7 linked regions of the Xenopus tropicalis genome follow. The main gene of each other region encodes a partner of the protein of the gene in region 4 in a complex. Links are inferred from orthologs where the notes say so. Each region holds a gene or a part of one and is shown on either strand. Other genes may lie near its edges. The genes, in order: tox4, ppp1r7, mras, ppp1ca, rb1, wdr82 and phactr1.

What was found.
Region 1: ppp1ca (region 4) and tox4 share a complex: the UniProt entries of both Homo sapiens proteins name them as parts of the PNUTS-PP1 phosphatase complex. The link is inferred for Xenopus tropicalis from reciprocal best matches to the Homo sapiens genes PPP1CA and TOX4.
Region 2: the proteins of ppp1ca (region 4) and ppp1r7 are in contact, whole or in part, in a crystal structure (PDB 8U5G), measured with the Homo sapiens proteins. The link is inferred for Xenopus tropicalis from reciprocal best matches to the Homo sapiens genes PPP1CA and PPP1R7. Residues at the interface, in NP_002699.1 of Homo sapiens: Arg23, Pro24, Leu40, Arg43, Arg96, Gly97, Lys98, Ala128, Ser129, Ile130, Asn131, Arg132, Ile133, Tyr134, Gly135, Tyr137, Asp138, Lys141, Arg142, Ile146, Lys147, Trp149, Lys150, Asp154, Asn157, Pro192, Thr193, Asp194, Asn271, Cys273; in NP_002703.1 of Homo sapiens: Asn84, His85, Tyr86, Arg87, Arg106, Gln107, Leu109, Tyr128, Asp129, Gln131, Asp148, Ser150, Phe151, Phe170, Val172, Glu192, Gly194, Ser195, Phe214, Gly216, Lys217, Ser236, Gln238, Ser239, Tyr258, His261, Ser283, Glu300, Trp302, Asn304.
Region 3: the proteins of ppp1ca (region 4) and mras are in contact, whole or in part, in a crystal structure (PDB 7TXH), measured with the Homo sapiens proteins. The link is inferred for Xenopus tropicalis from reciprocal best matches to the Homo sapiens genes PPP1CA and MRAS. Residues at the interface, in NP_002699.1 of Homo sapiens: Pro178, Asp179, Gln181, Gln185, Arg188, Ile189, Met190, Pro192, Thr193, Pro196, Asp197, Gln198, Trp216, Gly217, Glu218, Phe225; in NP_001078518.1 of Homo sapiens: Val6, Pro7, Ile31, Gln35, Lys36, Ile37, Val39, Asp48, Ser49, Tyr50, Leu51, Lys52, His53.
Region 5: the proteins of ppp1ca (region 4) and rb1 are in contact, whole or in part, in a crystal structure (PDB 3N5U), measured with the Homo sapiens proteins. The link is inferred for Xenopus tropicalis from reciprocal best matches to the Homo sapiens genes PPP1CA and RB1. Residues at the interface, in NP_002699.1 of Homo sapiens: Lys168, Ile169, Asp242, Leu243, Phe257, Arg261, Met283, Thr288, Leu289, Met290, Cys291, Ser292, Phe293; in NP_000312.2 of Homo sapiens: Lys873, Lys874, Leu875, Arg876, Phe877, Asp878, Ile879.
Region 6: ppp1ca (region 4) and wdr82 share a complex: the UniProt entries of both Homo sapiens proteins name them as parts of the PNUTS-PP1 phosphatase complex. The link is inferred for Xenopus tropicalis from reciprocal best matches to the Homo sapiens genes PPP1CA and WDR82.
Region 7: the proteins of ppp1ca (region 4) and phactr1 are in contact, whole or in part, in a crystal structure (PDB 6ZEG), measured with the Homo sapiens proteins. The link is inferred for Xenopus tropicalis from reciprocal best matches to the Homo sapiens genes PPP1CA and PHACTR1. Residues at the interface, in NP_002699.1 of Homo sapiens: Pro24, Arg43, Gln68, Tyr70, Asp71, Arg74, Tyr78, Arg96, Gly97, Lys98, Ala128, Ser129, Arg132, Ile133, Tyr134, Gly135, Tyr137, Asp138, Trp149, Lys150, Thr153, Asp154, Asn157, Lys168, Ile169, Met190, Arg191, Pro192, Thr193, Asp194; in NP_001309240.1 of Homo sapiens: Arg424, Lys425, Ile426, Leu427, Ile428, Arg429, Phe430, Ser431, Asp432, Tyr433, Val434, Glu435, Val436, Ala437, Asp438, Ala439, Gln440, Tyr442, Asp443, Arg444, Arg445, Ala446, Lys448, Pro449, Trp450, Leu453, Lys458, Ile461, Arg462, Glu464.

The regions. Positions count from the first base shown.
Region 1 is NC_030677.2:141,990,591-141,994,521, forward strand, and holds the start of tox4 (TOX high mobility group box family member 4), read right to left. Parts: upstream 2,801-3,931; 5' UTR 2,786-2,800; coding exon 2,778-2,785; intron 298-2,777; coding exon 117-297; intron 1-116. Other genes in the region: rab2b (ras-related protein Rab-2B), read left to right, coding at 3,401-3,446. UniProt on the Homo sapiens protein: Transcription factor that modulates cell fate reprogramming from the somatic state to the pluripotent and neuronal fate. In liver, controls the expression of hormone-regulated gluconeogenic genes such as G6PC1 and PCK1.
Region 2 is NC_030681.2:125,950,176-125,954,307, reverse strand, and holds the start of ppp1r7 (protein phosphatase 1 regulatory subunit 7), read left to right. Parts: upstream 1-1,332; 5' UTR 1,333-1,338; coding exon 1,339-1,381; intron 1,382-2,159; coding exon 2,160-2,255; intron 2,256-2,836; coding exon 2,837-2,892; intron 2,893-3,126; coding exon 3,127-3,192; intron 3,193-3,629; coding exon 3,630-3,760; intron 3,761-3,954; coding exon 3,955-4,117; intron 4,118-4,132. Other genes in the region: pask (PAS domain-containing serine/threonine-protein kinase), read right to left, coding at 231-246. UniProt on the Homo sapiens protein: Regulatory subunit of protein phosphatase 1.
Region 3 is NC_030685.2:87,979,977-87,983,963, reverse strand, and holds the start of mras (ras-related protein M-Ras), read right to left. Parts: upstream 2,801-3,987; 5' UTR 2,695-2,800; intron 1-2,694. UniProt on the Homo sapiens protein: Signal transducer in the Ras-MAPK signaling pathway that regulates cell proliferation and survival. Core component of the SHOC2-MRAS-PP1c (SMP) holophosphatase complex that regulates the MAPK pathway activation.
Region 4 is NC_030685.2:492,457-494,965, reverse strand, and holds part of ppp1ca (protein phosphatase 1, catalytic subunit, alpha isozyme), read right to left. Parts: intron 2,456-2,509; coding exon 2,324-2,455; intron 2,245-2,323; coding exon 2,014-2,244; intron 1,939-2,013; coding exon 1,834-1,938; intron 616-1,833; coding exon 392-615; intron 1-391. UniProt on the Homo sapiens protein: Protein phosphatase that associates with over 200 regulatory proteins to form highly specific holoenzymes which dephosphorylate hundreds of biological targets.
Region 5 is NC_030678.2:135,009,316-135,012,815, forward strand, and holds part of rb1 (retinoblastoma-associated protein), read left to right. Parts: intron 1-2,473; coding exon 2,474-2,610; intron 2,611-2,949; coding exon 2,950-3,095; intron 3,096-3,500. UniProt on the Homo sapiens protein: Tumor suppressor that is a key regulator of the G1/S transition of the cell cycle. The hypophosphorylated form binds transcription regulators of the E2F family, preventing transcription of E2F-responsive genes.
Region 6 is NC_030680.2:128,235,988-128,239,181, forward strand, and holds the end of wdr82 (WD repeat-containing protein 82), read left to right. Parts: coding exon 1-84; intron 85-230; coding exon 231-300; intron 301-383; coding exon 384-526; intron 527-704; coding exon 705-734; 3' UTR 735-2,694; downstream 2,695-3,194. UniProt on the Homo sapiens protein: Regulatory component of the SET1/COMPASS complex implicated in the tethering of this complex to transcriptional start sites of active genes.
Region 7 is NC_030682.2:91,700,389-91,703,888, reverse strand, and holds part of phactr1 (phosphatase and actin regulator 1), read right to left. Parts: intron 2,616-3,500; coding exon 2,554-2,615; intron 1,386-2,553; coding exon 1,245-1,385; intron 785-1,244; coding exon 708-784; intron 1-707. UniProt on the Homo sapiens protein: Binds actin monomers (G actin) and plays a role in multiple processes including the regulation of actin cytoskeleton dynamics, actin stress fibers formation, cell motility and survival, formation of tubules by endothelial cells, and regulation of PPP1CA activity.

The sequences.
Region 1 (3,931 bases), on a different chromosome or scaffold from region 4:
GAGCACTTAAAACATGCATTTAATAATACTAATACTTTTTACATATAGAATAAAACAATCTTATATAATACATCTTAGCAATGCTGTAGCACCCACATTTTGTTAGTGTGTCTCACCTTGCTATACCCATACACTCCATAGAGAGGCTGAGAGTGGAGCAAACCTGGCATATCAATGGAGCATGGAGCTCCCTCATCTCCTGTAAATAGCATGTGGTGGCCAGGGAGGCCCCCATCACTGCCATCTGTGTCCAAACCAGAAAATAGGTGTAGGTCCATGAGTCGAAGAGCTAGCCCCCTACAGAGCACACAACACTTCAGTTACACAAGGGATAATGACCTCAAGCACAGATTGAACTATAGCATCAACTATCCCAAAGCTAATGACTGAAGAAAGGTTGAGAGTTGCACAGCAAGAAAGCTACAGGTTAGATTCTGATGAGTCTGTGGGAAGCAAAACCTTTCACTACCTAGTAACACAACACCCAACAACAAACACCACAATTTGCAAACCATATGAAGCCTACATTATAGTTGAATGAAACAGTCTATGTTTTGAGGAGCACAACATTAATGCAAGCTGTGTAATGCAAAGATCAGGTAAATACATAGGGGCAGATTTACCAAGACACAAACGCTCGGAGCGTTCATTCAAACGCTCTGAGCATATTTTCATCTAATTTTCCTGCTGTTTACAATCGCTCAGTACGAAAATTTCGTGACTTTCGAATTGCCAATACGATATTATCATGACTAATATGATTTTTCCGTAAGCATATTTGTGATATTTGCGATCTTCAGAAATGATCGTATCCAATCCGAATTTATCCCATTTGGGATTCGAACTCACGTTTTCATGAATGTGCCCCATAATTATGTGACACTAAGGACCGCTGGTCTATCTGAGGCGTTAAGCACTCAATGGTAGGTCCCAATTTCATGGTGCCAAACAAAACCACAAAGCCAACACAAAGATAGGCACTCAGTTCACGAAACAGGCAAACCACAACAAGGTTTTTTCTCCCGAAGGAAAGAGGCATCACCAACACAAAGTCTATTGATCCTCAAATCATGCAAATTCTTAAATTTTTTCATTTTGTGGTCTAACATTTAGCCAGGACCCCTCAGCTCATAACAAGAGGGCAGATACATGGGATCTTTTATACAGAAACCCGTTATGTAGAAAGTTCCAAATTACGTGAAGGCCATCTCACAGACTGCATTATGAGCAAATCATTTTTAAAAATTAGAATTATTTCATTTTTCTCTGTAACAATAAAACAGTACCTTGTACTTGTTCCTTACTAAGATATAATTAATCCTTATTGGAGGCAAAACAATCCTATAGGGTTTATTTAATATTTAAATTATTTTTAGTAGGCTTACGGTATAGAGACCCAAATTACAGAAAGACCCCTTATCTTTTCCCATGACCAAAAATACACTTTTTGGTCACTACAGGGCGGCTTCTTAGCCTGCAGATAAATGGCAGAGGCAGAGAATTCGCCCGTACGCTTCAAGAAGCTTATGGACGTGCATGCACCTGTAATCGCATCAGTCCACAGGCACCGGATTTCCCTACAAAAACTGCAAGTATGCAGTTACGTGTGGAAATCCACTCTGTGTGCAAGCAGAGAATCCACCCCGTGTGGCAGGAGCCTAAGTGCTCTCATACTTCACTGCATTAACTTGAGGGAAAAAAAAAAATTGTATTTTAAGGGAAGTCACCCTTTTTTGGAACAACAAAAGCAATTTTTAAATACGCATTATGAATCACATCAGAGTTATTTACAAAGTACTTGCTATTAAAAGCAGAATCTGTCTGTTTTCTGCACTGCTGCTTTTGCTTTCAATTGTAATTACATTTACAAATAGCTTTAAATTAATTGAAAATGTTTAATTAATGTATAGTGAAATGTTTAACATCTTTCATTATGCAACAAAAGTTGGAGAGATTCCCCTTTAAATTGATCACACCCTTTTCTTTATTCCATTTTTCACTTCATGTCTAAGTTAGCTAACTAAAGGTATAATTTCTCTATATTTTTGCTCTGATCAATGGTTAGCACTCTGCTTGTATGAAAAGACCAAAGAATTTTCCTGTGAAATAAAATGCTGCACTGCCTCCTATTAAAACAAGTTACAATGACAACTGTTACAGCATTCAATAATTATATAAAAGCAATATTTTATTAATCACAGAAACATTGCTGCTAATTATGCAAACACTTCTGAGGCTGCTGCTGCAGAGGGGGGGGGCTCCTTTGCTTTCATGTATCTGTAACCTTATTATGAACTAAGGGGCGCTCTGGCCAAGTTAGATCTCATGCATGAACTAAGAAACTCAAACAACCACTGTCCAGTGAGTGAAGAAAGAACATGTAACTGATCTATTACAGCATCTTGCCATATAAAAGTAAATAAACCACAAATGACCCTTCTCTGGCTTCTGAATAACAGCATTCATCTCTATAACATTTTACTATTAGTGACACAGACAATAACAAATAGAAGCTTCCATGTTAATGCTGGCAGTAAACAAGCTGTTTCACCACAGATACAAATAATAATAGTAATTTCAATTCACAGTACAAGGAATGCAAGTCTTCTATCAGGCACATCACTCTCAAAGAAACACATTACTTATCCACAACCCCATAGCCAATATAAATATTCAATTGACAGGAACCTGTTACCACTGAAACGAAACCCCCAACACAACACGTTCTGAAGAAACTATAAGTATTGGCACCAGGGGATTAGAGATACTTGACGCACCGCGACATAATAACAACTACATTGTACGATCTTTAAATGCTACACGTTTTCTGTGTTTGATCCGCAGGAACTATAGTTCCCTTCTCGCCACTTCATTAACCTGCTCTAATGGCCCACATAATCTGCGTTTTGAAAATCACCACCAACACGCATACGGAATCAAACTAGCTGTATACCGCGTTAAAACCGAAACTAACACAATAAAATACGTAATTTACCCAACTCACCTCCATTTTCACGGCCTGAGACTCTTCTTCTTTTCAAGCACACTTCCCCGCCTCTACAAAGATGGCGAGACATCCGCTTCCGGTAAAAGCAGCGAAGCCATATTGGTACAGTAATGCTGCTACTCATTCCTCCTATAGTATAACAATAGGATGTGAGGCAGCCATAGAGACTATTCATTAGAATGCTACACGTATCGAATACAAAAGAGCGAACATCCGGCTTAGTAAAGAACGTCGCTACAAGCCGTACACCAGATAGAGAGTCTTTTCCGGAAGCAATAGAGATGAGACTGCGTGGCAAGAACGTCTCTCTGGGAGCTCTAGTTAGAGTAAGGCAGTTCAAAGGAAGCCTCCTCCCCGTAATCACCTGCCTTGGTGGCTCTGACGATTGCCATCATGTCGTATGCCTACCTCTTCAAGTATATCATTATTGGTGATACAGGTGCGTACGTATTTTAAATGATTTTATCTATCGGTTTACGAATATTGGGTGCTATTATTATGCTCTTGTAACCTTGATGCTTTTTAATTTTATTTTGTGTATTAAATATAAAATCATGCATATGCTAGCATAAAATGAGAATATTCCGAGTTTATGTACAATAATATATTATTTTTAAATAGCAGCTCTTGGTGTTCTGTTTTGCAGATGTTTTTCAAATTTGTATGCAATTACAGATTTGTGTATATGTATATATCTTTGTATTTATACAGGTAATGTTAGGAGCCACATCATTAAATATTATAGAGGCACATTGCAATTTGTGTATCACTTATAACAGTGATGGGTAGTTTTAAAGCTGAGTTGCCAGAGCCCCATATTTTCTCCATGAATAATCAGAAAGAGTGCACATATTTCATGTTAGTGATAATGCAATACAATGCATTTTATTACATTAAGAGCCGTATTTCCTACAGTTTAACTTT
Region 2 (4,132 bases), on a different chromosome or scaffold from region 4:
AATAAGGCCTGCGATTGGCTATTTGGTAGCCCCTATTTGGCCTGGAAGCCTACATGAGGCTCTGTTTGGCAGTTCATCTGAGTTTTATGCCACCAAAACTTGCCTCCAAGCCAGGAATTTAAAAATAAGCACCTGCTTTGAGGCCACTGGGAGCAACATGTTGCTCACGGGCCAATGGTTAGGGATCACTGCTTTAGCGCATGGGCCTTTTGCCAATAATTACCACCTACCAACCATAGATAGCATACTTGATGTAAATGCCTGGCTCCAGTTCGGAAAACAGTTTTAGAATCTTTTTCTGATAACTAAAGAAGAGAGAATAGATAATTAGAACTGATGCCTGCATAAAATCACTGGAATTTTAGAATTAAATGCAGCTAATAGTCATTATCTGTTTTACAGCCAAAAAGTGGTTACATACGCTGATGAGAGGAGGCTATACTGTACATACTTGCTTTTGATGTAGCACCCCCTTGAGGGGGAACATATATAAAAAACAAGAGGCTTTAGGATGTGTGCTTTTATATAGTCATGGAATCGAATTACAAGGACAGGTAAAGGAGCCATCAGAGCTAGGGCAGCACCAGTGAGCCGATGGAAAAATCAAACCTGCTCGATTGACACCTGACCAATTTTCTGCCAGATATTGGTTGGGGAGGCCAATCAGGGATCACCATATATGGGCAGAAAAGCTGCCGAATCAGTCTGAAGAACTTGAATTGGCAGCTTGAATCTACATTTATAATATCCTTATATTTTACAGTAAAGGGTGCATTATTAAATATATATTGCTTAAAGGCTATCAGACATACATCCATTATACTCACAGGGGCTCATTTAACAACATGGGGCAGATTTACATCTGAACAGTAACACATAGCAACCATTCAATGATTAGCTTTTTCTTTCAGTTGGCTGCAGGTAGACCAATAACAGCAACAATTTGATTTGCAGCAATGGGTTACTGCCCAGGAGCAAGTTTGCAGTGTTGGTAAATGTTAGATAAATATCTTATAACCCTTTATAACCATCACCTCCAGCCACCCCCTGGAGACTCTGTAATGGAAGCACTCAGGAAGCACTAGTCAAACGCTCACTTACATCAAACATTGTATATGAGGTTACAGGATGGGCAATCTGTCTCCTAGAGCAAACACAGCATGTACCTACGTTGTACAGCGGCAGCGCTCTATGAATAGCCGTACAGCCTAGCAACCCAAGCGCACCTACTCAAGGGATGCGGAGTCTCCAACCCTACCCTGATTGGCTGGGCGTTTCCTTTCGCCGCTACTGATTGGTTCTACTTTATGCTTCCGGAAAGTAGAGGAAGAAGAAATAATGGCGGATGAAGAAGGCGAGACTGAAGTGCAAGAGATGGAAGGTAGGATTCCCAGTACTGTTCCTCTCCTTGTGTTCTCAGTGTTCCTAATGGGCTAATACACCATGCACTGCGTTTCCATATTAGCCATGTAAGTGTTATGTTCGGCAAAGTAGGGGTGACTGAGGCGGGGGATCTCAGGTGAATAGGGAATGGTTGCCTAAGCTCGGGGTGACAGCCCTGAAGGAGTCCTAAGTATGACTAGTTCTCTCCTCCGTGTCTTGTAGCCAAGAAAGGGTTAACGCTGGGCATGTCAGGAAGGGCCGATGTGTAGGATGTGGTGGAACGCAGAGGGGCCCCTTGGCTCGATCAGTGGCTGGCACTGTCACACACACCGGGGGGGGGGGGGGGGGGGTTAGGGGGAGAGCCAGGGACACATGAGCCATATGCATAGTTACGTTACCAAATAATTTTTAAAAATCATGGCTACTCCTAATAAACATAACACCTACCTATCATGCAGGATTCTCACATGACGTGGTAACCTTCTCTACATGGAAGGAGTGTGATAATTCCATAAAGCAGATAGTATAGTGTCTTGGCATGTAAGCAGGAACTGCCATTGCACCCAAGCCAGTGTGGGTACAGATTTCTTTTGCACAAATAGTGTAAAGATTTTTACACATCAGTTGTCAGTCACGTGCTGTTGAAAAGGAGTCGCGTCATTCAAAGTCAATTTCCCCTTTAAATGCAACATTAGCTTTCTGGACATAAATTCTTAAGGTAAACATTTGCAACTTTGTTGACTGCCGGCATGGGGTAAGACTACAGTCTTTTGCAGTGGACAGAAGAGAATCTGATGAGTCTGCTGATGATGAAGCAAAGGAAAAGCCAGATCGTGTGGATGGAGGGGTGAAGAATGGTGAAGTGCCACTAGGTAATTCTATATCTTTCTCATAATAGTTCATTGGTTGTGTAGTTATGATATGTCAGGCATAGGCATTGTTTGCAGCATGGGACATATTTTAGACCAGTGATTCTCCACCGCTGGAAATGTCCAAAACTGCCTGTGCCATCTGTCATTAAATTTCATGGCAACCGCCTGTCACCACTGGTACAAGACTTTGGCCATAACACATTGGCTGTTCCAGCAGTTAAGGTCGCTTGCAGTACACTCAATATCACAGGTGGTTTCATGCATTTCTCCTTAACCCTTTTCCTGATTTTGTTCTTTGGCCTGTGCCACACCGCATGTTGCCAATAAACACACTGCATGGTGTAGATCAATTAATGTCCCAGCAACTTAAAGGGCACCAGCCTGTCAAAAAATACTGTAAAATAGACTATATATGTCCTTTAATAGTGGCTGGCTTACTTGTTGGTTTTTACATACAGCTGCAATAACATGCCATTCACATATGGGCTTGTGTCAATCCCAGTATTTGACATATTTGCTGTAATTAAAGTGCACGTTGTATTTCATAAGTTTATCATTCTGACTGAGACCTTTATGTTCAGGAGAGGCAGATGCACCAGTGGATATAGAGACCATTAACTTGGACCCTGAAGCCGAGGTATTAACAGCATTCTTTTCTGTTTCTTTAATATATCATCGGTGGGGCATGGAATTGTTGTTGGAAACAGCGGTTTTTAAATTTAAGCTCTGTGTAAATAGCTGCAGAAAAGCAGTAGAGTTTGTTTTATGATAATGGACTAGCCCGATTCCCCCTGGACTAGTACTACTTCTGTCATCTTATTTGCCTGATATTTAATGTGATTTTTTTTTTTTTTTTTTATGGTTTCTCCAGGATGTTGACCTGAACCATTTTAAAATAGGAAAGATTCAAGGCTTTGAGGTGCTCAAGAAAGTCAAGGTAAATGATTAAATATGAAAAAAATATAGTGCTTATGTTGTACTTAATGTGTATTATCCTGTCAAGGAAATTATATCATATTGTAATACTTTACACTGAATCTGTCCCAGTGTTCTGTTTTTAATTTAAAAGGAAGTATTTTTCTCCTAAAAATATGCACTATGCTAGGTTTTGAGGTTCCATTTATTATGCCCGAGTTCATCCGGAATTTCATGTACACAAAGGCCCCAAACAGCAACCTGCCAGCCAAGCAAGTTCTATACATTCCTCAGTACTAGGGACCCGTTAACCTTAGCATCTCCCATCATGACTCATAAATGTGGTGGCTTAATAAATGGTGCCACACCCTAAATAATATATTTATAGCAGATTTTTAAAAGATCCATAGAAAGAAGAAAGTTAGTTTTCTGACCATTGTTCTGTTATTAAATCTGTAGACTCTCTGTCTGCGCCAGAACCTGATAAAGCTGATTGAAAATCTGGAGCAATTGGTAACACTGACTGAGCTGGACTTGTATGACAATCAGATCCGCAAGATAGGGAACCTGGAAACCCTGAGAGATCTCCAGTAAGCAATGTCAAACTATGTCTATTAAGCTGTTCTTAAATTAGTTGATCACTTATATACACACATATAATTTTATCTGAGTGTTTGGTAAATCTGACCACAGTTGGTCAAAAGCCAAGCTTTCCATTGACCTCATTCAGAGTTCAGTAAGAGAAATTACTTTGATTGTGTTGCCTTTCATTCTTCTCTTGCAGAATCCTGGACCTCTCTTTCAACCTCCTGAGACGCATTGAAGGATTGGAGTCATTGTCTCACCTGCAGCGCCTTTACCTTGTGAATAACAAGATCAGCCGCATTGAAAACTTTGGAACCCTAACGCAGCTCCGCTTGTTGGAACTGGGCTCTAACCGGCTGCGGGTGAGTGTATGGGAA
Region 3 (3,987 bases), about 87 Mb from region 4:
CACAGGCCATGCCATACAATACACACAAGTATAAGGAAGGGTGCTGGGAGTTATAGTTTGGCTAATAAAGAACAGCCCGTGAGTACAACTCTGGGGACACAACCTGCAGCACCAAGGTGCCCAAAACGACCTATCACAGACTTGAACGGACATCACCTGACAAAGCCCAACGCTTAGTGACACAGTCAGAACCAGCAGTGACTGCCACCTGTGTCATAGTGATGTCACGTCAATTTCTCATGATGTCACACTGTACCGGTGGGACATGCCCCGCCCCCCATCCACAGCATTCACTCTGCCTAATTAGTACACCATTAAGATTCATGCTGAAGACTACACTGGATTCCGCGCAGCCATGCCTCTAATTAGCCCATGTAGTGAGTGGATTATATAGGGAATGGGGTTTATAGTGGAGAGGAGACAACTCCCAACTCCCACAGAGGGGCTGATGGCTAAGGGTAGGTGCCTGGTGAGTGCAGAGCTCTAATACACAGTGTTACTTGCCCCACCATACACATTGTACCTACTATACACACACGTTACACCCTGTGAGACTTCCATGTAACAGGCATGTAGTGGTACCGCTGATACTGTGTAAGGAGTGTTACTGGGCTGTACACAGAACCCAATAAAGGCAGATCCAGACCCAAAGCTTTACCCCCTCCCTATTACTGATATATATATATATATATATGCACACACACACACACACACACACGTGGGGGTACAGTACATGCGTGCCCTTTGGGTGCAGACTGGCACAGTCCCTGCTAGGCACAGAAAGTGGGTTTGGGGTACAGAGGGTTCAGGTTACAACCAGTGACTGTGGGGTATATGCAATGGGTATGGGAGTACATACAGTATCTTTGGGGTAAATACCATTCAACATATTTGGGGGGCACATACAGCAGGTTTTTAGTAGGGGTGCTTAAAATCACTGTAGGGTTCATACTGTGAATTTGGGGTACACACAGTGGGTTTGGGGTGCACAAAATGGGCTATGGATACCTAAAATCCTTATGAGGGTCATACTATGAGTTTAGGGTGCTCACAGTGGGTTTGGGGTGAACACAGTGGGCTATGGATACCTAAAATCCTAATGAGGTTCATACTATGAGTTTGGGGTGCACACAGTTGGTTTGGGGTGCACACACTGGGTCTGGGTATAAACACTGGGCTAAGGGTCCTTACAATCCCTGTGGGGTTCATACTGTGGGTTTGGGGTACATACAGTCACTAAATGCTCTATTCAGTGGGTATGGGGTACATACAGTCACTAAATGCTCTATTCAGTGGGTATGGGGTACATACAGTGGGTTTGGGGTACATACAGTCACTAAATGGCTAATCAGTGGGTATGGGGTACATACAGTCACTAAATGCTCTATTCAGTGGGTTTGGGGTACATACAGTGGGTATGGGGTACATACAGTGGGTTTGGGGTACATACAGTCACTAAATGGCTATTCAGTGGGTTTGGGGTACATACAGTGGGTTTGGGGTACATACAGTGGGTATGGGGTACATACAGTCACTAAATGGCTATTCAGTGGGTTTGGGGTACATACAGTGGGTATGGGGTACATACAGTGGGTTTGGGGTACATACAGTGGGTTTGGGGTACATACAGTCACAGAATGCTCTATTCAGTGGGTTTGGGGTACACACAGTGGGTTTGGGGTACATACAGTGGGTTTGGGGTACATACAGTCACAGAATGCTCTATTCAGTGGGTTTGGGGTACACACAGTGGGTTTGGGGTACATACAGTCACAGAATGCTCTATTCAGTGGGTATGGGGTACACACAGTGGGTATGGGGTACATACAGTGGGTTTGGGGTACATACAGTGGGTTTGGGGTACATATAGTCACAGAATGCTCTATTCAGTGGGTTTGGGGTACACACAGTGGGTTTGGGGTACACACAGTGGGTATGGGGTACACACAGTGGGTTTGGGGTACACACAGTGGGTATGGGGTACACACAGTGGGTATGGGGTACATACAGTGGGTTTGGGGTACATACAGTGGGTTTGGGGTACATACAGTGGGTTTGGGGTACACACAGTGGGTATGGGGTACACACAGTGGGTTTGGGGTACACACAGTGGGTATGGGGTACACACAGTGGGTTTGGGGTACACACAGTGGGTTTGGGGCACATACAGTGGGTTTGGGGTACACACAGTGGGTTTGGGGTACATACAGTGGGTTTGGGGTACACACAGTGGGTATGGGGTACACACAGTGGGTATGGGGTACACACAGTGGGTTTGGGGTACATACAGTGGGTTTGGGGTACACACAGTGGGTATGGGGTACACACAGTGGGTTTGGGGTACATACAGTGGGTTTGGGGTACACACAGTGGGTATGGGGTACACACAGTGGGTTTGGGGTACATACAGTGGGTTTGGGGTACATACAGTGGGTATGGGGTACACACAGTGGGTTTGGGGTACATACAGTGGGTTTGGGGTACACACAGTGGGTTTGGGGTACACAGTGGGTATGGGGTACATACAGTGGGTATGGGGTACACACAGTGGGTTTGGGGTACATACAGTGGGTTTGGGGTACATACAGTGGGTATGGGGGGGGAGAGCCAGCCCTGTCTGCCTTTGGGGTTTCTGAAGTTCCCCCTGGATCAAAGCGACCCCCCCCCCCAGTTGGCACTGCCCTAGAGAAATACCTGAGCGGAGGCCTCCGGGCCGGACTAAGCAGGGCACAGACTCATGGCAGGTACCAGGTGAGCAGCGATCCCGCAGCCTCCACAGAGCAATGCCGCCTCCCCTCCGCTTCCCACTCTTTATATTGCAACAGCTGCTGCTAAAAATAGATGGTACGCGGGGGTGCCTCTCCCTCCCCACGCAAGCCCCCGGCCTCACCTGTGGGAGACACCCCCCGAAATGAACCCCTACACCCACCGTAAGGTTTATAATCCAATAATGTGCCACTAACTCCCTGCTGGGGGCCATACTAAGCTTCCAATGTATTCCCCTTACAGCGATCCCCCCTCTCGCACACAATAGACTGTTCCACGGGCTGTACCAATAGTAGGTCACTGTTAAGGTGGAACGGCATTGTGACAGGAGTTGGGTCTGACACCCTGACACAGACTATGCGATTACACGTATAGATATGATCCTCCCATACTAATATCTAACACCATCAAAATGCCAGACTTCAGTTGGCCCCATGAAGGCAGATACATATATGTAGAAAGGGGCCACCTTAAGGAAACCACTCCTTGTAGAAAGCGTTCCATCTGTCAGTGACTGTGAGGCTGCCCTTATGGCATCGCATTGGATTGGCCAACTGTCTGTGCCAGGTCATGTGACACCCAGCTGGCACCCAGAGGTGCCCTGATACACTCACAGCCCGGGGCTCCGGCGTCACTGGCTCTGTCTCTCATGTCATCATGTCCCAGCAGCCTCAGCGGCCCAGCACTGCAAGGTATCCCATAACCACTCATAATTATCTCTCTCTTGTCTAAATTGTAATGGCTTGGCCAATGGATCTCTCTATAACTGTCTCTCAGTAATAAGTGGCTCTCAATGGACCCTCTGATTAGGAACATGAAACTAATAGTTGCTAAATCTACAGCTGGGCCATTAGAATTCCAGAGAGGGGTCATGGTTGGTCCCTGTGTAGCGCTAAGGGAAACACTATGGCACCTCCTACCCATATGTATAAATACAAATATACAGGGAAGGAATGTTCTGGGCACACAATAAGCTGTACCCCCATACTGTACTGTCTAAGGGAAACACTATGGCACCCCCTACCCATATGTATAAATACAAATATACAGAGAAGGAATGTTCTGGGCACACAATAAGCTGTACCCCCATACTGTACTGTCTAAGGGAAACACTATGGCACCCCCTACCCATATGTATAAATACAAATATACAGAGAAGGAATGTTCTGGGCACACAATAAGCTGTACCCCCATACTGTACTGTCTAAGGGAAACACTATG
Region 4 (2,509 bases):
GGGAGAGGAGTAAGGAATGGGCGGAGCAGACGTACCGTGGGGTGGGAATGGGCGGAGCAGACATACCTGGGGTGGGAGAGGAGTAAGGAATGGGCGGAGCAGACATACCTGGGGTGGGAGAGGAGTAAGGAATGGGCGGAGCAGACGTACCTGGGGTGGGAGAGGAGTAAGGAATGGGCGGAGCAGACGTACCTGGGGTGGGAGAGGAGTAAGGAATGGGCGGAGCAGACATACCTGGGGTGGGAGAGGAGTAAGGAATGGGCGGAGCAGACATACCTGGGGTGGGAGAGGAGTAAGGAATGGGCGGAGCAGACGTACCGTGGGGTGGGAATGGGCGGAGCAGACATACCTGGGGTGGGAGAGGAGTAAGGAATGGGCGGAGCAGACGTACCTGGTGAGCTCGGCAGATGAGGTCAAGGTCATGTTTGTGAAGAAATTTTGCTACTACATCAGCCCCAAAGGTGAAGGAGACCCCGCGGTCGTTCTCCCCCCACCCAAGCACATCTTTGTCCGGGTCCGACCACAACAGGTCACACAGGAGCCCCTGGTCCGGTACATCGGTGGGACGCAGGATCCGTCTGACTTGCTCCATGGACTGTAGGTCGGGGGAGAGGCCTGAAACACAAATGGGGATGTGAGTGGGGGGGGGGGGGGCAGGTTCTGATGGATCCAGAGTAGGCACAACTGTATACCGGGGGGGCACACTAGCTGTACAGTATAAGAAGGTGTGGGGTTCCCGGGGGGGCACACTGGCTGTACAATACAAGAAGGTGTGGGGCTCCATGGGGGGGCACACTAGCTGTACAGTATAAGAAGGTGTGGGGTTCCCGGGGGGGCACACTGGCTGTACAATACAAGAAGGTGTGGGCTCCATGGGGGGGGCACACTGGCTGTACAGTATAAGAAGGTGTGGGGTTCCCGGGGGGCACACTGGCTGTACAGTATAAGAAGGTGTGGGGCTCCATGGGGGGGCACACTAGCTGTACAGTATAAGAAGGTGTGGGGTTCCCGGGGGGGCACACTGGCTGTACAGTACAAGAAGGTGTGGGGCTCCATGGGGGGGCACACTGGCTGTACAGTATAAGAAGGTGTGGGGTTCCCGGGGGGGCACACTGGCTGTACAGTATAAGATGATGTGGGGCTCCCGGGGGGGCACACCGGCTGTACAGTATAAGGTGTGGGGCTCCCGGGGGGGGGAACACTGGCTGTACAGTATAAGGTGTGGGGTTCCCGGGGGGGCACACTGGCTGTACAGTATAAGGTTTGGGGCTCCCGGGGGGGGGCACACTGGCTGTACAGTATAAGGTTTGGGGCTCCCGGTGGGGGCACACTGGCTGTACAGTATAAGGTTTGGGGCTCCCGGGGGGGGCACACTGGCTGTACAGTACAAGAAGGTGTGGGGCTCCCGGGGGGGGGGGCACACTGGCTGTACAGTACAAGAAGGTGTGGGGCTCCCGGGGGGGGCACACTGGCTGTACAGTATAAGAAGGTGTGGGGTTCCCGGGGGGAGCACACTGGCTGTACAGTACAAGAAGGTGTGGGGCTCCCGGGGGGGGGCACACCGGCTGTGCAGTATAAGAAGGTGTGGGGCTCCCGGGGGGGGCACACTGGCTGTACAGTACAAGAAGGTGTGGGGCTCCCGGGGGGGGGGGCACACTGGCTGTACAGTATAAGAAGGTGTGGGGCTCCCGGGGGGGGGCACACTGGCTGTACAGTATAAGGTTTGGGGCTCCCGGGGGGGGGGCACACTGGCTAAGAAGGTGTGGGGTGTGTATTCACCCCATTTGGGCTGCCCAGACGAGCCCTGAGGGATGGGGGCAGCAGGGAACTCACCCCCGTGGCAGCAGAAGATCTTCTCATCCACGATGGCGGCCACGGGCAGGCAGTTGAAGCAGTCGGTGAAGGTTTTCCACAGCTTAATGTTGTAGCGCCGCTTACCTGCAGGGGGAGACAGAGGGCATTAGGGAGCGCACTGGTTACCGTGGGTTACAGCCTGGCCCCGCCCCCGCGTACACTCATCGTAGAAGCCGTAGATGCGGTTGATGCTGGCGCACTCGTGGTTCCCGCGCAGCAGGAAGAAGTTCTCGGGGTACTTGATCTTGTAGGCGAGCAGCAGGCAGATGGTCTCCAGCGACTGCTTCCCCCGATCCACGTAATCCCCCAGGAACAGGTAGTTACTCTCGGGGGGGAAGCCCCCATACTCAAACAGGCGCAGCAGGTCGTAGTACTGACCGTGCACATCCCCTGGGGGGAGGAGAGGGAAGCCAATCAGATCCGCAGCTACACACAGAGGCGGAGCCTCGGCACCCAGGGCCCTACTCACCGCAGATCTTCAGCGGGGCCTCCAGCTCCAACAGGATTGGCTGGCTGAGGAAGATCTCGCGGGACTTCAGGCACAGCCCCCGGATCTCATTCTCCGTCAGCTGAACATTCTTCCCAGGGCGGCAGCCTTTAACTGTAGGGGGGGAGGAACAGGCCAGTCAGGAACTGGGGAGGGGGGGCCCCGTTA
Region 5 (3,500 bases), on a different chromosome or scaffold from region 4:
GGAATGTGACTTAACTTTCAGATTCTGATTTTGTATTTTTTTTTTTTTTTAAGTTCTTGCACTTATTAAAATAATAGGAAAAAACGTATGTTCAGCACAAGCCCTAATTATTGAACCCATGGTGACATACTGCTCCTTTAAGTAAACCCAATGTAGAGATAGGGGGTATTTACAGTAAAGGAAGTCCCTATATTTCCTGTATCGAAGTAGGAGAATATTATTGCAAGTATATACGTTATACATTAAAGGATAAATGTTTCCAGAAATAATCAGAAGATTAGAAACAGATACATGAGATTGTTTTGCAGTTTTATGTATCTTACAGCACCCAGCCATTCACATTGAGAAAAAATGCCTAATGTTACAGCCTGTGGTATGAGATAAAAGCAGTTCCGTTTCCTTTGAAAACAAACTATTTGCTCTTATTTCAAAGAGACTTGGTGACTGGGGATTCTGTTAACAAATAGTCCAAAAAAAACTTTGACACATGCAGCTCTACAACTGTTAAGGCATCATTCTGACATGTCCTTCTTTTGTCTAGTCCTGCTAAATCATGTACCAACTATTTCTGTTATTGGCTTCCATGAATGTTCCTGCTGATCTACACAATCTAATAGATAGGACACTGCAGTGAGGTTCTCTATGCCAAATCATGATCACACACTGCGAATACTATGTGAGGCTTGCTGTAACATTACATATGAACCACAGAGGTGAGACCAGCACTGAATAAGAGGCACCAACCTAGAGGCTAAATGCAGGTGCATCTTGGCCACATTCATTATGCCGCTTACGCTTGGTCTAAAAGTGTGTGAACAACTTCAAAAAATAGGCTGAACATTGATGTTTTGGGCTTCTGTATCTCAGAAGCCGGCATGGAATAACTTTGCCTAAATACACAAATATATTTTGCTTGAATACTATACCAGTATTACATGCATCAAGTATCTAATACAATGGTGTTTTGGCAAAAAAATTGTGTCTGCAAGTAAACAAGATGGTAGATATCCAGTTATAAATTAAAGGACAAGGAAAGGCAAAGTCACTTGGGGGTGCCAAAATGTTAGGCACCCCCAAGTGACTTAAATCGCTTACCTTGTACCCCAGGCTGGTGCCCCTGTTAGGAGAAAACAGCCCAGGGTACCTGTATGGGTGCGCTTCCTCCTTCGTTTTGGAAGGACTAACGACAGACGCATGTGCAGTAGAGTGAAAAGCAGACTTCTCGCGACCTTCGTGTGCGCAACCGAAGACGGAAGGAGGAAGCGCTGCAGCTACCCCAGGCTGGTGCTGTTTTCTCCTAACAGGGGCAACAGCCCGGGGTACAAGGTAAGCGATTTAAGTCACTTGGGGGTGCCTAACATTTTGGCACCCCCAAGTGACTTAGCCTTCCCTTGTCCTTTATGTTTTATTTATGGGAAGCAGGAAAAGAAGCGAAATATTATTATTACTAACACATATTTATAAAACGCTAACATATTCTGCAGTGCTGTACAGTAAATGGGTGTATACATTGAGCATACATTAAATACGTGTATACATTGAACATGCAAGATTACATACCAACAACTGATTCAAGAGGTAAAGAGGATTCTGCCCAAAAGAGCTTACAATCTAAAAAATATACACAATATTAAAAATGTAACAGATTAAATACAACAACAACCAACAACTGATTCAAGAGATAAAGAGGGTTCTGCTCAAAAGAGCTTACAATAAAAAAAAAATAAACACAATAAAACAGGCCTGGACTGGGATTCAAAATAGGCCCTGGCATTTCAAGTACACAGAGACCCACATCTTACAGCAGCCCCTCTGGAATTTGAGTCCACAGATTGCCAGTTCAGGCCTGCTTGCACATACACCAGTGCTTACAGTCACACAAATTTCCCCGCACTGCAGCAGAACCAATCTCACACTATAGTATCAAAATGTACAGTGCTGCATAAATACATACATACATACATACAGACAGTTTTATACAAATTTATACATACAGACAGACAAATTTAAGGGCAATGTCACATGGTGCTATTTGTAGCCTGTGTTTTGTCGTAGCTACACAACACCAGCAAAAACCCTGCCATAGACAGTACTGGGAATTGTCTCTGCTAAAACATTCAAATTGTGTAAATGCTCAAAAGTTCATACAAAGGCATTTTTAAATATTTTCTGGCGCTTTGTAAGTGGCAACAAAACGCAGCCTGTCATTGCCCTAAAGGACAAGTTGTTAGGCACCCCCAGAGACTTTAATCTCATACCTGATACTCCTGGCTGGCACTTGCCTGGGTAGTTTACAATACTTGGCTCATGCAAAAATAAATGTGTCTATTTGTGATGAGGTGATCATTAATGTATTAATTGGTTAGAGTTTTGCATTACTTTTCTTGTTTTGGGGTGGGGGGGGGGCGGCGAAGACCCAAAGTAATTAATGAACCCATGTATATTTTTGTGTTTTTTGTTCTGTAATGTTTAGGTATCTCTCACCTTCAAGATCATCCCATCAATGTCCTGTAACTAGTGTGCGCACCTCATCTGTTACTAATGGGCAGGTTTCACCCTCACAACCAGTTCAGCAGAAATCAACCTCACTGTCACTCTTTTACAAAAAAGGTATGATTTTTGGTTTTGTTTTAATGCACGGCACTTATTGGGGTAAAGAATATTACAGAAGGTACTACATTTGAAAACGATCGCTTTAAAGGAGAATGATAATGATAACAAAATGATTATTAAAAGTATTGTTTGGAATATAAATTTATTCCTAAAGCCCCAGAATTTTTCACAGAGCATGAGAGGCCTCTGCAACTGAGATTTTAAAGCTTTAGTCTCAATCCACTCCAATGAATATCACGTTTGTGCAAAATATATATATAAACCAAAAATGTTGTATTGCCGTGACAGTATTATCTTTATTTTTTTGTGGTAATTGCTGTTCCTGTTTTAATCTAGTGTATCTTTTGGCATATAAGCGGCTTAGCAGTCTCTGTTCCAGCCTTCTCTCTGACCATCCGGAACTTGAACAGGTGATCTGGACACTTTTACAGCACACACTACAGCATGAATATGAACTTATGCGTGACAGACATTTAGACCAGGTACTGTATTAATATATTTATTGTTTTGTCACACTCCATGATTACTTATAATTAATTTGCAGAGAAGAAAAGGGCATGTGTTTCCTTGTTCATTGTTAAAGTATAGGTAATGCATTCTACCTGGAGTTGTATAATAAGACCTAACAATAATTAAATAAAATAATTTTTTTTTTATTGTTTAGATAAAACCATAAGCAGAATACATTTTCATTACAAGCCCTATTTAGTTGGCCCATGCTCTACATACACAATATTACCAAAATGATCTTGCCACCTACTTGTCTACCATTAAAAGTATTGTTAGTATACATGAGCATTCTTAATTTTTGTGCAGAAAGAGGAATCAAGTAATTCTCCCGAGTGTATACCATAGTGCTAAGGTTTGTTTTTTTACTGGGGCCCTAA
Region 6 (3,194 bases), on a different chromosome or scaffold from region 4:
GGGAAACTTATCTTAATGTCAACCAATGGAGGCTTCCTTCGTCTGGTTGATGCTTTTAAGGGGGCTGTTATGCACACGTTTGGGGTGAGTAATTTTTTTTTTCATTAAAATGGCCTGAACAGGTAGAGCCCTTATGACTTCTTGTCATTAAACTTACTGCTGTGGAATATATTTGCACTTTATGATGAATACGTTACTAAATAACAAACTTATAATGAATTTTTTATTAGGGCTACAACAATAGTAAGGCTGTCACCCTGGAAGCTACCTTCACTCCAGATTCCCAGTTTATTATGATCGGTAAGTTAGAAGAAAACATTTATTAATATCCCAACTATTGTGCAATATCCACTCCTCTCACTGGTTCATCTCAATCTCTGTAGGCTCAGAAGATGGCAAAATTCATGTTTGGAATTGTGAGAGTGGTATGAAAGTAGCAGTGCTGGATGGCAAACACACAGGTCCTATCACATGCCTACAGTTCAACCCCAAGTTCATGACGTTTACTAGTGCTTGCTCAAACATGGTAAGCACAATCATATTCTTTGGTTGTTATAACTGGCACTTTATACAGCTATTGTTGCATTATCAAGTTATTAATGTCTTCTTGTAGGCTATGAAGTCCCAAAGTATACAGTTTGTGGCTAGCTTTAGAATCTATGAAAATCCTGTGGATAATTGATTCTAACAATCTTACATTGCAGGCTTTTTGGCTACCAACTATTGATGACTGATGCATACAGAGAAGCTGGCATTTGTAAAAATCCCATTCTTCAGCTATTTTCCACAAATAAATCTTCACAATGCCCGGATATATGAAGAACAAGAAAATGGTTATTTTTTTTATTCTTCCATAAAAATACCCCAGTATTGAGCCAACATTTCTCTTTGCCAAAATAAGAACTGTTCTTCGGTACATATCAAGATTTATGAACTTCTGTTTTTTACCTTCATGTACTGGGCACTTATTTTGTGGAATGGTGTATATATTTTTGTCATGTTTCTCCTGACGAACCTGTATTTGAGACACATGCTACCAATCTCTCTTTTTATATCCTTTATATACGCTTCCATCTGTATTTGTTCTTTGGAGCAGGATTTAAATGTTCACTATGGTAAGAATCCACACCAACCTTGTTACACCAGATATTACACCAGAGGTAGATTTCATGGTGGATGACGCACTAAATAACCGGCTAAACCAGATTCTATTTAGATACCCTCTCTGTCCAGAGTTAAAGGCTGGCAAGAAGCTACATCTGTTATTGTTTTGGTTAATTTTAAGAGAAATTTTATTAATGCAGTGCTCCTTCCTTATAGGCTCTCTCTCCACACCTGTAGTTACTGCCACAAGTATTACACAGATGTGCATCAAATCTACACAGACATATTCCTATAACACAATCCCATGTTACCAGAAACAGCAATTTTGACTCCTTCATGCAGTTGATTTAAACTGGAATTGCTTTATATCATTTATTATTGATTTCTGTGTTTCCTTTGATTGTTGAGAGATGCTGGATGTGTTTAATAGCCAACGGGCCGCAGGTTAAGCATTGTCCATCTGTTTTCTATTTCAAGTCAGTACTGGTAGCTTTGTGGGGAATTTGCTTATTAGTGCTGCCCCAATTTGTTTAGATCAGGATTATGATTCTTTCATTAATTGGTTAATCTATTTGGTAATATAATTCATAAGTAGCAGAACAGTATATATTGCTCTCATATTCTGTAAGCAGCATTATTAAACGGGCATTATTAAACTGGCACTAGTATTAAGAACTGCCTGGGTTGGCATCCACACTACCAGCACTGCATTGGCCTGGCTGGCATAGGACAAGTAGCTTCTTTCTTGCCCACAGACAATCGTAGCTAGCTGAAAGTGAAATACGTAGGTTAAAGGGCAATCCATATATACCACTGAATTCAGCTTTTAAGAAAACATTATGTGGTTAATAACCTTGTTAATAGAGGACCCAGGAAAAGTCTGGGATCTGTTTTGTGACCACAAATTGGTTGGAAATCAAATATACACTTCATTTTAATTACTTTCTGTTGTTCATTATCTTAAAATGAGTCACATAAACATACCAAAAGCAGCATTGGGTTCTTAACCATAGATTAACAGTTCCTGTTGGGGGAATGGTGATATTGTTTGCCTCGGTAAAATCACTCTACATAGACTAAAAAATAGCACAATCTAGGAGTCCTAGTTAATGTTGGTTTGCTATCAGTATAATAGCGTTATGTTTTATTTATATAATAAAAAGAAGCCCCAAACTGTCATCTTAAATTAAAATTAATGCAATACCCTATTTGGAAACTAGGTGTGTTTGGCCCTTTAAGATCTTGTGTCAAGTAAGCAGTAGGTGAAAAGATTTTACACTTCAAGGAAATGTGTATTTTACAGCTCCAGAATATGATAGTTTATTTTTAACCACACAGAACCTTTTTAAAAAAAAAAAATAAACAAAAATATTGTATGGTTTCCTCATGTCAAGGAAGCCTCATAAGCAGTATTCAGTATTTCAAAATAAAGATATTCCACAGCATAAAGGATTTATCTCACTGTCTCATATACATTTGAGGATTGTGCATGTAAATAAGAAATGGATTAAACCATTACTGGGGAGCTAAGCAGTGTGCAGCTGTTTCTTGTAAATTATGTTTTTTTACATAAATAAAATATTAAAACAACTATGTACTGTTTTATTTGAGTAATGTGTTTAATATCTTTAATGCCCAATACACAGATGGTAAAAGTGCACTTGACACCAGCATGTCAGAGCACGTTACAATTTGGTATTGTGTCTTAAATAATCAGATTACTCTTTCCCCTTTTAGCAAACCTGTCTCTCTACATGCAGCATTGTCGGTTATTTTGAAAGATAGCTCTTATACATTATCTAGGCAATGGGGGTTATGACCAACGATGTGTTTGACTTAGCTGTCCTTCAAAATCTGTCCTTCAAAATCTCGTGCATGTAGAAAGGCATTGCTAGGAAGGGGATAGTGAAGAGTTATTCAATTATTTCATAAAACTGTGTAAAAGTTTTGATTATATTCAGAATGTTTTATTTCTATGAGATAAAGTTTATATTACAGTTTCACTATAGTTCCCCTGTTATACATTGTGATGGCCTATTAATAACCAACATATTAACTTGATATATAGAGAATGTCCTGCCCTTAAAATA
Region 7 (3,500 bases), on a different chromosome or scaffold from region 4:
CAGCTATATAATATTAGTATTTTCTATCTAAGCATCTGCACCATTAACCAAATGTTTTTCTGTAAAACAAAAATTATGACAGCTTTCAGGTACCTAAATGTTGATGCTAGAGAGAACTTACATTTATGGTTTACTCTTTGATCGACATTGTGTTCACTGGTAACACACAGTACAGCAAGATTAAAACCCAGGATATACAGGACTGTCATGCCATTGATATGGGTGATAATAAAGATGGCCATACGCAGGCAGATTTAAGCTGCTGATTCAGACCGATTCAGACTGATTCAGTAGTTTATCTGCCCATGTATGGGGTCCTCTGATGGTACTATCTGAACAATATCTGCCCGAAAAAAGACCAGATGTTAATTGGGCAAGCTTGATTTTCCCGCTGGATTGAGCACCTCAACAATTTATTGATGCAGTCCTCTCCCCGATGGCTCTAATTCCCTTCACTGTAATGTGATAATTTGGCCCTAGGGAAAACGATTAAATTAGAACGATAAGGCCCATTTTACGTTGGCATATCGGGGCATAGCTTATTTGGCTACCTCACCAAATAAGCAGATCTTATACTGTATGGCCAGTTTAACTTGTGTATCTTGCTCCAACTCCCCATTGTTTGGTCACCACTGAAAATAGACTCATTGTAACATAAACATTAAGACTGTGAGACAATAAAACACAAGAAGATGACTTTTACTTACCTTGTTAAATGCCTACTTAATTCATGGACTTCCATTTCTGTACTTTTGAACTCATTAAGTTCTTTACGAATAGCTGCCTGTTATAAATATAAACAGTAGACAATTGTGTAAGTGGTATTGTTTCAATATGTCTCCACACATGGGGGAGTGTTAACATTGGAGCCAAATATCACTGGTGATGTTGGTCATAGCAACCAATCAGCAATTAGATTTGGACAGTAACCTACAAGTTAGAAAAAAAAGCAAAGTTCTGATTGATTGCTATGGCCAACATGTCAATAAATACACCCCATAATGCGTTCAAATGTGGAAATTAAGGAATTGTAAGCAGTAAAATTTTTATCCTCCCCATTCTATTTGCCTTCAAATAGCAGAATAGTAAATGCAACTTGCCAGTTTAGTAAATTTACACTTAACTAATTTGCAGTAATTATTTTTGGCAAACATATTGTGGTCTCTTTTATTATATCATTGTTTTTTGTTAACCAAATGAAAAGCTCAGTAAATGCTGAATAATGAGTAAAAAGAGGCACAAACTTTGTCAGCGGCTGTTAGTCGAGTCCATGGTTTGTCTGCTCTTCTATCGTAGTCCTGTGCATCTGCCACCTCCACATAATCGCTGAAACGTATAAGGATTTTTTTCTCTCGTAGTTCTTCCACTGTGGGCCTTTGACTAAGCTGCAAAAATACATATTAATAATTATTATTTACCTTTCCTGGGTCTAGTACAATGGAATGCATATGATAGAGACCTTTGGTCTCAGGAAAGATGATCAGACGCAGGGCCGGATTTCCAAATTGGCCGCCCCGAGGCCGCCCCCGGTCGCACGCATCCCCCCCCCCCGAGTGGGCATGCGCGATACAGGGGGAGAGGGGTTTGCGTGCGCAAACGGGGGGCGCCTTGTGCGCGCATGCGCAGTGGGCCAAACTTGGATACGGAGCAGTGGGGAGAAGTCCCCCCATTGCTCCATATGGGTACAAAACTTTTTAGATTTTGGTGCGGCGGGGCGGCATGCCGCCCCCAGGTTTCTGCCGCCCTAGGCCCGGGCCTTTGTGGCCTCTCCACAAATCTGGGCCTGATCAGATGCTTGTGGTTTACCACCTTAAACTGTAGTCTTTGGGATGTGCACCTGAACCCCCACATTTCTACTAGTAGACTTTGACCTATTTGGCTTTAGCAATATATACTTTATTTTTCAATAAATCAGTCTTTAAAAATCCAATCTAAACTTGTTTGTTTCTTTTATTATTCATAAAGGAGAAGGAAAGGTAAACACTAAGTAAGCTTTATCAGAAAGGTCTATGTAAATACAGCCGTAAGCACTCACAGAAACGCTGCACTGAGTTCTCTGCTAAAAAAAACAGGATTTGTTGTCTCTTTGTTATCCTGTGCCAGAGACACGCAGCTCTCTCCTCTATCCTGCTCCCCCCTCCCTCAAGAACTCACTCCCCCCCCCCTTAGGAATGTGTGATCTAAGGCAATCAGCAGGAAGCTTCCTCATAGTCTTACAAACTGCGCATGTACACCGGTCTTGGTCTTGGTTCAGGAGCGAGGCATTATGGGAAATTTCTTTACAGAGCTCAGCGGTTTTTTTTCCTATGAGGCTTCTGATCATCTGAACTGGAGAAATATGACTTAAGGGCACTATTGAGAGAACTGAAGGTATGCCTGCAGCTTGAGATTAACTCTTTATTGGCCTTCCTTCTACACCTGCTATTATGTATAGGATTTATCTAACTGCTGTGATATTGGACTTTCTTACCAGTAGCCATGATGCCAGCTGCCACTGTGCTGCTTTTATGGGGATTATTAATATGCATTAATGCTATTTAGCACATTATTTACCTTGCGTGTCAGTCTTCTCTTAATCTCTCGCTTTTCTTCTTGTTCCTCTTGCTCATTTCGAGCTGAAAGTAATGTACAATATTAGCAAATCCAAACTTAGCCATTTATTTTAGTATTACATTCTGCAACTTGTGTGTGATAATTGCACATTTCTCTAATGCCAAAACACTGAAGCCTAATTGGAGTTTAGACTGCACACAACTCCTATTTCCTTTACCTATTAGCTACTTCTTCTGCCACTTGTCCACTAAGTAAGCCATTCTTTCATCTTTTCAATGAGCAGAAACTGTATGTTTTGAAAGCTGGCTCCTTCTTTTCTTTTGCAAGACTAAGTAACTGTCCACATACCTTCAATGCTTAGGCACAGCCTAGCTAATTACCTGAGGTTTACTACTCATGTGGGAAAAATGATAGGAATCTCTATGGGTTGCAGGAGAGGCCAAAGTGTCTTATACCAGAAGAATTTATAACAAAGGCACTGCATATGTTACATTTCCATATACCAATGCAAAAGTCTGGAATCAGTCTACTTTATGGCTTGCCAGCCCTTGAAACCCCAAAGAACTTCCTGAGGTGAGCATTATTCGAACTTGGTCTAAGTTTTTAAGGGTTTAAATGGAAGGACAAAGCTACCAAGCATAGCCAAGTGAGGGCTTCAGGATTCCAAACAACAAGCCAAGGTCAGGGCAGAAAGATTCTACAATTCCACACTTGATATGTCACAGCTTTCTTCCAGCCATGCAGGGTCACAGTGGCATAGGTCACCCATTATGGTTGTGCACCACAGCAGGGACAGCAAGGAACTGGGAAGCTGTAGGTAAGTACAGAGCCCCTAACAGTGCCTGCCTTAAAGTGATACTGACATGAAAAAACTAATTTTTAAAATATGAACCTACACAAAAAGTTACCTATATGTCATGGTGATAATTTTTTGCTGATAGGGCTGC